Linked DNA regions of Callithrix jacchus. The protein of the gene in region 1 interacts with the protein of each later gene in a biochemical or structural test. Links are inferred from orthologs where the notes say so. Each region holds a gene or a part of one and is shown in the gene's direction. Other genes may lie near its edges.

Region 1 (3,810 bases):
ACCATGCCTAGCTTATTTTTGTATATTTAGTAAGGATGGGGTTTCACCATGTTGGTCATGCTGGTCTCGAACTCCTGACCTTGTGATCTGCCTGCCTCGGCCTCCCAAAGTGCTGGGATTACAGGCATGAACCACTGCGCCCAGTGCGCCCAGCTGGAAGGGAGGTTCTTAAGGCATAGGAAACAATGTATTTGAGTTGGCAAAGGAGGTTGGGGGAGGTTATCCTAAGTATAGTAAGCAGCCATAGTTGGATTTAAGCTTTTAAGAGATTCCCCTCCACCCTGTAGAGACTGGAGCGAGGAAAAGTGGGTCTAGGGATAGGACTGATTAGGAGGTACTGCAGTTGTCAGAGTGAAAGATGATAGGGCTTGAACTAGGCCAGTGGCAGGGGTGCCAGAAAGAAGAGGACCCAGTAGAGCTAACTGGAGGCAGTTAGCCTGGCAGGGATTTAATGATGGAGTGTACCAAGGGCGAGGCTGGCATGCAGGATGACTGGTGGTTTTCTAGCCTGAGAAGGCAGGGTGAAGGGCAGTGGACTTGAGGAAGCTGGAAGGATCAGCAGGGACCTCTTTGTGGACACACTAAGTTTGAGATGCCTTGGACACATTGAAATGGAGCTGTCAGGGAGGCAAGGGTGGAGGTGGGATGAGGAGGAGAGGTGGGACGCGTTGTGGATGGAGTTTTTGCTTGATGGAGGCACATTTTTTCCTGTGGCAATGAAGGGCAAGAGGAGAAGGTGGCCACAGATGCCAGTAGGTGAGCTAAGAGCGATTATTTTCCCTATCCTCTCCGAAGCTTGAGGCAAGGCCATCAACAGACAGTCAAAGGGAATAAGAAGAGATATTTGAATATTTGAAGAAAGGGAGAAAAGAATGAAATCATAATTGTGTAGCAGAGCAAGAAGTCCAGAAATTTTTGTGCTGTGCCAAGTGCCCAGCTGAGGTGGTGAACATGAAAATATACTGATATCCACCACCTGGTTTTTCTCCAAGGACACTTGGCTCCTAGGGCACAAAACAGAGAGTATGTGGTTCGCCCAGGCCTGGGATTTGCATAGGTGCAGTGGATGGAGAGGTCAGGAAGTGGAGGCACACGGTAGAAAGTGACTGTCCCCACAGCATGGGGACTCCTGGCTGGATGAGGGGGACAGGGGCAGGAGGAGACAGGTGGAAAGTGGAGGGAGGGCTCAGTGATCTGGAGGCTACCGGAAGTGACAGAGAGACTAGAAGGAGCTGGGAGCCAGTGTAGTTGTGGCCCAGGGTGGGATGTTTGGATTTCTGATGTCAGAGAGGGTGCAGTCCTACTGATGATGGGGAGGGGCAGAGGCTGAAGCTATGGTAGAGATTGTGAGAGGAACTGGAACAATGTAGCTGTCAAGTAGAAATGGGGGACTGAACGCCGTGGGTTATGCCTGTGATCCCAGCACTTTGGGAGGCTGAGCCAAGAGGATCACGTTAGCTCAGGAGTTCAGGGTTGCAGTGAGCTGCGATTGTGCCACTGCACCCCAGCCTTGGCAACAGAGTGAGATTCTGTCTCTTATAAAAAAGAAGAGGGCTGGGCGTGGTGGCTCAAGCCTGTAATCCCAGCACTTTGGGAGGCCGAGGCAGTGGATCACGAGGTCAACAGATCGAGACCATCCTGGTCAACATGGTGAAACCTCGTCTCTACTAAAAATACAAAAAAAAAAATTAGCTGGGCATGGTGGCGCATGCCTGTAATCCCAGCTACTCAGGAGGCTGAGCCAGGAGAATTGCCTGAACCCAGGAGGCGGAGGTTGCAGTGAGCCGAGATTGCGCCATTGCACTCCAGCTTGGGTAACAAGAGTGAAACTCCATCTCAAAAAAAAAAAAAAAAAAAAAGAAGAAGAAGAAGAGGAAGAAAGAAAAAAGTAAAAAGTGTCCTATTAAATCCCTTTTAAAAATGACACTTAAGGCTGGGCAAAGTGGCTCATGCCTGTAATCCCTGCACTTTGAGAGGCCAAGGCTGGCAGATCACTTGAGGTCAGGAGTACAAGACCAGCCTGGCCAACATGGCAAAACCCTGTCTCTACTGAAAATAGAAAAATTAGCTGGATGTAGTAGCACACGCCTGTAATCCCAGCTACTTTGGAGTCTGAGGCACAAGAATCTCTTGAACCCAGGAAGTGGAGGTTACAGTGAGCTAAGGCCACTGCACACCAGCCTGGATGACAGAGTGAGACTTTGTCTCAAAAAAAAAAGTTACTTAGCTTAGATTGTCTCCACACATACAGGAAGAAGATATAGCAATGAATTGTGCTGCTACAGTTATGTAATCTGGTTAAACCCAGAAACATGATACTTTTCGGTCTTCTGTAGCCTTGGTGCTATTGTTTATCTTTATTAATTATTTTTATCCTCAAAATAGCTGCAATGTGCTGAGTCTCCTAGTGTTTGCTGGGCAGAGGCTGACTGTTGCAGCAAGCTCATTGAGTCCTTACAATTGCATTTTGAGAGAGAGAGAGATTATTATTCCTACTTCACAAGGGAAGAAATTGAGGTTTAGACATATCCAAGGGCCACATGACTGTGAGTGCCTGGAATTGGAGCCTAAATCTAGTCATCTGATGGCAAAGCCTGTTTTCTTATCTTCTTTGCATTAAATACAAGTTTAATATAGAACAATACTGGCTAGGCTTGGTGGCTCAGCACTTTGGGAGGCTGAGGCAGGCAGATCACCTGAGGTCAGGAGTTCGAGATCAGCCTTGCCAACATGGCAAAACCCCATCTCTACTAAAAATACAAAAATTAGCTGGGTGTGGTGGCACATGCCTGTAATTCCAGTTACTTGGGAGGCTGAGGCAGGAGAATCGCTTGAACCCAGGAGGTGGAGGTTGCAGTGAGCCAAGATGGCACCACTGCACTCCAGCCTGAGCGATAGAGCAAGACTGTCTTGGAAAAAAAAAAAAAGTGTGTGTTTATATGGTGGGGAAGGTTGGGTATGAAAAGATGACCAAGAGGAATGAATGTCTTAAGCGAATGGCTGTTTCCTCATCTGCTTTCTCCCCTGCTGGGAGGAGAGACCTGGGTCCCTAGAGGTCTCAGTTACCTCCAGAGCTGAACACCACAGGGATACAGAGGAACAGGGATGTTACCTGTCACTGATGATTCAGAGAGATGATTCAGGGTGTAGTTACCTGAAAGAATGAATTGCCATGCCAGACACCTTGGTTCTTACGACAGAGGCAAAGGTTGCCTCCAGGATTGCCCAAATTGAGACAAGTTCTGGGAACCTCATGAAGAGGACCTTTCAGTGGAACATGGGGAGATTCTCTTCTTCATTGGCTCACAGTGGATTTAGGAAAGCTAAGAACTGGATGATTCCTCGACCTCTTGATTTATTTAATTCTTTTCTGGTTTTTCTTGGCTCTACTCCAGGGGAATACGGAGAGAACGGTCTGGCAATACCACTTTCGGACCTGGCCGGACCACGGAGTGCCCAGCGACCCTGGGGGTGTGCTGGACTTCCTGGAGGAGGTGCACCATAAGCAGGAGAGCATCATGGATGCAGGGCCAGTCGTGGTGCACTGCAGGTGACAGCCCCTGCCGCCCCTCTATGCCACAGCCTGTCCCTGTCTCCTAGCACCAAGGGCTTGCTTTTACCTACCCACCACCCCCCAGCTCTTTAACTGTAGGAAGAATTTAATACCTGTTTGAGGCATAGAGCACCTGCACTGAGGGACATTTAGATCCCAAGGTGTATTTCTTCTAGATCCCACAGCACTGCCATTGGCTGTGGGCATTGCAACATGCTCAGTTAAAACTGCAAGGACTAAGTCAGCATTCTCTCTGA
Region 2 (4,486 bases), on another chromosome or scaffold:
CCAGTTGGGCCTAAGCCTGGAGATCTAGAGATATCCATGAAGGATGGCTCCTGCTTTAAGAACTTAATTCTTCAGTGATTAATGTTTCTAGAGCACTAGCCACAGGCAGGCATTTTCTTTTTTTTTTTTTTTTCTGAGACGGAGTTTTGCTTTTGTTGCCCAGGCTGGAGTGCAATGGCACGATCTCGGCTCACCGCAACCTTTGCCTGCTGGGTTCAAGCGATTTTCCTGCCTCAGTCTCTCAAGCAGCTGGGATTACAGGCATGCATCACCATGCCCAGCTAATTTTTTATTTTTAGTAGAGATGGGGTTTCTCCATGTTGGTCAGGCTGGTCTCAAACTCCGGAACTCAGGTGATGTGCCCAGGCAAGCATTTTCTAGATGCTTTACATTTGTTAATGTCCAATCCTCATGGACATAGTGTGAAGCAGATTCTATCATTCTCTATATCTTGCCTATGAGAAATCAAGGCTCAGAGAGGTTAAACAGTCCCCTGAGGTCACACAACTAGTCTGGGCCTAGAAGAGACTTTTCTCCTACTATTACTCTGTGTTGCTTCACAATATGGTGTACGTTCTGTGGGAGCCCAGAAAGCAAGGCATCTGAGCTACTGGGAAAAAGGGATGAGACAAGTCCCCTGAGGAGTTAGCTGACCAAGGAAGCAGGGAACAGCACTTCAAGCAGAGGGAACAGTACATGCAAAGGTTATAGGCAAGAGACCGTGACCTGCATAAGGAGAGGCTGGGCTAGGCGTGGTGGCTCACGCCTGTAATCCCAGCACTTTGAGAGGCTGAGGCAAGCAGATCACAAGATCAGGAGTTCGAGACCAGCCTGACCAACATGGTAAAACCCTGTCTCTACTAAAAATACAAAAATTAGCCAGGTGGTGTGTGCCTGTAATCCCAACTACTCAGGAGGCTGAGGCAGGAGAATCGCTTGAACCCAGAAGGTGGAGGCTGCAGTGAGCCGAAATCGTGTCACTGCACTCCAACCTCAGTGACAGAGCAAAACTCCATCTCAAAAAAAAAAAAAAATCAAGCAATGCATTAAAAGTATGGAGATGAAATAAGCATTATTAACATTAGGTGACCACATTCTCAACATTCTATGCAAAACAAACAAACAAAAGTGGCTGATGAGCCTTGGGATAAGTGACATTCCAGAGCATTTCAAAAAAAACTGCTTTCTTTGGAAAAAATAGTGTGATTTTGGCAAGAGAAAGAATCTCAAAAGAGAGCTCTGGGGCCTTCAAGGGGCAATTGTTAACGAGGTGAATTGCGTCTGGTGCATCTCTCTCCCTCACAAGGCCTGTTTGTTCTGTGCTAAAAGGGCTAGCAGCACCCGTGCTGTGGGGTGGAGGGCAGAATATAAGAGAATGGAATGGAATACTGTAGCTGGCAGGCGCTGAGAGCTTCACAGCCCTGGGCCCCCGCTGCATCCGCTCAGGCACCCACGCTTTACTGACACCTTGAAAAGGAGCTGGGAATTTGTTTTCAATTTGGCAGAGCCCCTTCCTCTACCTGCAGTCTTCCTCTACCTGCGGTTCTGGAGACTCAGCCTGGAGAGGTGCCAGGCCGCTAACCGACTGCGGCGTTGGGGATGTGTTTTCAGGGCCCGGGGAAGGGGGAAGTCCTATTGCCGCTCCCTCCGGGCCCCCTTCCTGGTGATTTATCGCTATGGAAACCGAGCTCCTTTCCTCTTCGCGCTGCCGGCTGCTGGGAGTGCACATTGTTGATGCTGTTGCCGTTCAGATCAGAAGTTCCTTCCTCTTTCCTGCTGCAGAAATGCCACAGTAACCTACGTGGCCCAAGAACTGCCGCTCACACCTGAAGAGCCCAGGCTTGGGAAAAACAATCTCATCGGATTCCCCAGGGGTCATGGGGGCCTTCTGGGTAAGCAAAGCCGGCCTCAGAACAATGTCGGGGAGAACAATGCGGCGGTGGCTGAGCTGGTGGCCCTGCAGTTCCTCTCCCTTCAGCTTCCCTAGCTGCGGGTTAAACATGGGTTTACAGGCCGGGTGCAGTGGCTGATGCCTGTAATCCCAGAACTTTGGGGGCTGAGCCTGGTGGATCACCTGAGGTCGGGAGTTCCAGAACAGCCTTACCAACATGGAGAAACCCCGCCTATTAAAAATACAAAAATTAGCTGGGCTTGGTGGTGCATGCCTGTAGCCCCAGCTACTCTGGAGGCTGAGGCAAGAGAATAGCTTAAACCCGGGAGTCGGAGGTTGCGGTGAGCCAAGATCGTGCCATGGCACTGCAGCCTGGGTGACAAAAGTGAAACTCCATCTCAAAAAAAAAAAAGGTTTTACAGGCAATCACAGGTAGCATTGCATTAGGCAGCAGAAAACGGAAACTCAGAGTCCCTTAGTGTGAACAAAGTCTCCTGTGACAGCCCACTTGCTGCAGGTGCTCACCCATTGCGCATGCCCACCCATGACATATACCCATCCACTGCATATGCCCACCCATTTAATATGCCTGCCCATTACACATGCCTGTCCTCTGCATATACCCACTCACTGCAGATGCCCACCCATAGATATGTTCACTCACTTATCTACTCACTGCATATACCCACTCACTGCATATGCTCTCCCATCACATATGCTCATTCACTGCTCAAGCCTGGTGAGGCTCTACTGGACTTTTGAGAGCTGGCTCTACTGGACTTGGTCTGGCCCTCAGTAACCATTCCTTAGAGGCCAGTGCCTGGATTAGAGCACCCTGAGCATAGCATCACATATACCTGAGCCAGGGCCTAGACTCAAGGACATAGGGCAAGGGGGGATTCCAGGGACAACAAAGGAAGCTCTCTGGCCAGGAAGTCCTGAGACTCTGCCAGGCCCAGCAGCCCCCTTGCTGGCCACACAGATAAGATACGGCTAATCTCAGGGCCTCAGGGTCATTCTCTGTATGTTGACCTAAGGAATTCTTCTGTAGGTCTCATCTTATGGGGGATGGAAGAGAGGAAGCTAAGAGCACCTCCTACTTGCCCATCTGTCTCTTAGAGGGGTTCATCTAAGAGTAGTTTTCTGGGGAAACTGGCCTTAAAATGACCTGGGAGAATAACATTTCATTTAGGAACTGAGGCTTGTCAATGCATCTCATAATAATGTACAGAAATTCCCTTTACCTCCCTGAATATCCAAGATCTTTTTTTTTTAAATAGAAATGGGGTTTCTCCATGTTGGTCAGGCTGGTCTCGAACTCCCAACCTCAGGTGATCTGCCCACCTCGGCCTCCCAAAGTGCTGGGATTACAGGCTTGAGATACGGTGCCCGGCCCCAAGATCTTTTCTAGGTGCAAAATGTTCCTGTTTGTTTTCCATTTAGAATTTCCCCTTATTTGGAGTATGTTTCCTCCCTCTTATCCTCAGAAAATTTCCAAGTTCCTTCCACATTCTAAATAACATGGAAACGTTCTTTAGAATTAGAGCAATGTGAAAGTCTATGGTTTTGTTTTTGCGGGTTTTTTTTTTTTGAGACTGAGTCTTGCTCTATCACTCAGGCTGGAGTGCAGTGGCACGATCTTGGCTCACTGCAATCTCCATCTCCCGCATTCAAGCAATGCTCCTGCCTCAGCCTCCTGAGTAGCTGGGACCACTGGCGTGTGCCATCACGCCCAGCTAATTTTTGTATTTTTAGTAGAGCCAGGGTTTCACCATGTTGGCCAGGCTGGTCTCAAACTCCTGACCTCAAGTGATCCGCCTGCCTCAGCCTCCCAAAGTGGTGGGATTACAGGTGTGAGCCATAGCACCCAGCCCCAATTTTAAAATATAAATATTTTTATTGAGATAATAGTAAATTTGCATGCATTTATAGTAAATAATACAGAGATATGTACCAATTTCCCAATGGTAACATTTTGCAAAACTACAGTATACCATCACAACCAAATTTTCTGGCTTTTGTTTATTCATTTGTTTTGTTTTTGAGACCAGGTCTCACTCTGTCACTCTGGACGGGGTGCTATGGCCCAATCATGGCTCACTGTAGCCTCCACCTCTGGCTCAAGCAATCCTCCCACCTCAGCCTCCCAAGTAGCTGGGACCACAGGCATGTACCCCATGCCTGGCTAATTTAAAAAAATGTTACGTAGAGATGGGGTCTCACTATGTGTCCCAGGAGGGTCTTGAACTCCTCGGCTCAACTGATCCTCCCGCCTCAGCCTCCCAAAAGTGCTGGGATTACAGGCATAAGCCATAGCACTGACTGCAACTGGTCCATTTTTAAAAAGCCCTAATTAAAGCACGTCCTTGACATTTGGGAGGTATCCATCCGCAGGCCCAGATGTGTGCTCACTTTCTCAGTAGTAGGAATGTTTACACAGGCTCCTGACTTGGTCCAAAATCACATGAATCTCATTTCTGTCTAGAAGCACCATTTCCTGTGCATATTCTCATACCCCAACTTGGCTGCCTTTTTGATTTTTATATATCTATTTATTTCAATTTTGTTTAATCAGGTAACGAAGCTGTAAAGAAA

The links.
Region 2: the proteins of PTPN11 (region 1) and PECAM1 form a complex in vitro, tested with the Homo sapiens proteins (4 studies listed by BioGRID, with this or other methods). The link is inferred for Callithrix jacchus from reciprocal best matches to the Homo sapiens genes PTPN11 and PECAM1.

What each region holds. Positions count from the first base shown.
Region 1 is NC_133510.1:115,443,064-115,446,873, forward strand, and holds part of PTPN11 (tyrosine-protein phosphatase non-receptor type 11), read left to right. Parts: intron 1-3,383; coding exon 3,384-3,550; intron 3,551-3,810. UniProt on the Homo sapiens protein: Acts downstream of various receptor and cytoplasmic protein tyrosine kinases to participate in the signal transduction from the cell surface to the nucleus. Positively regulates MAPK signal transduction pathway. Dephosphorylates GAB1, ARHGAP35 and EGFR.
Region 2 is NC_133506.1:89,659,185-89,663,670, reverse strand, and holds the start of PECAM1 (platelet endothelial cell adhesion molecule), read left to right. Parts: upstream 1-1,396; 5' UTR 1,397-1,892; intron 1,893-4,486. UniProt on the Homo sapiens protein: Cell adhesion molecule which is required for leukocyte transendothelial migration (TEM) under most inflammatory conditions.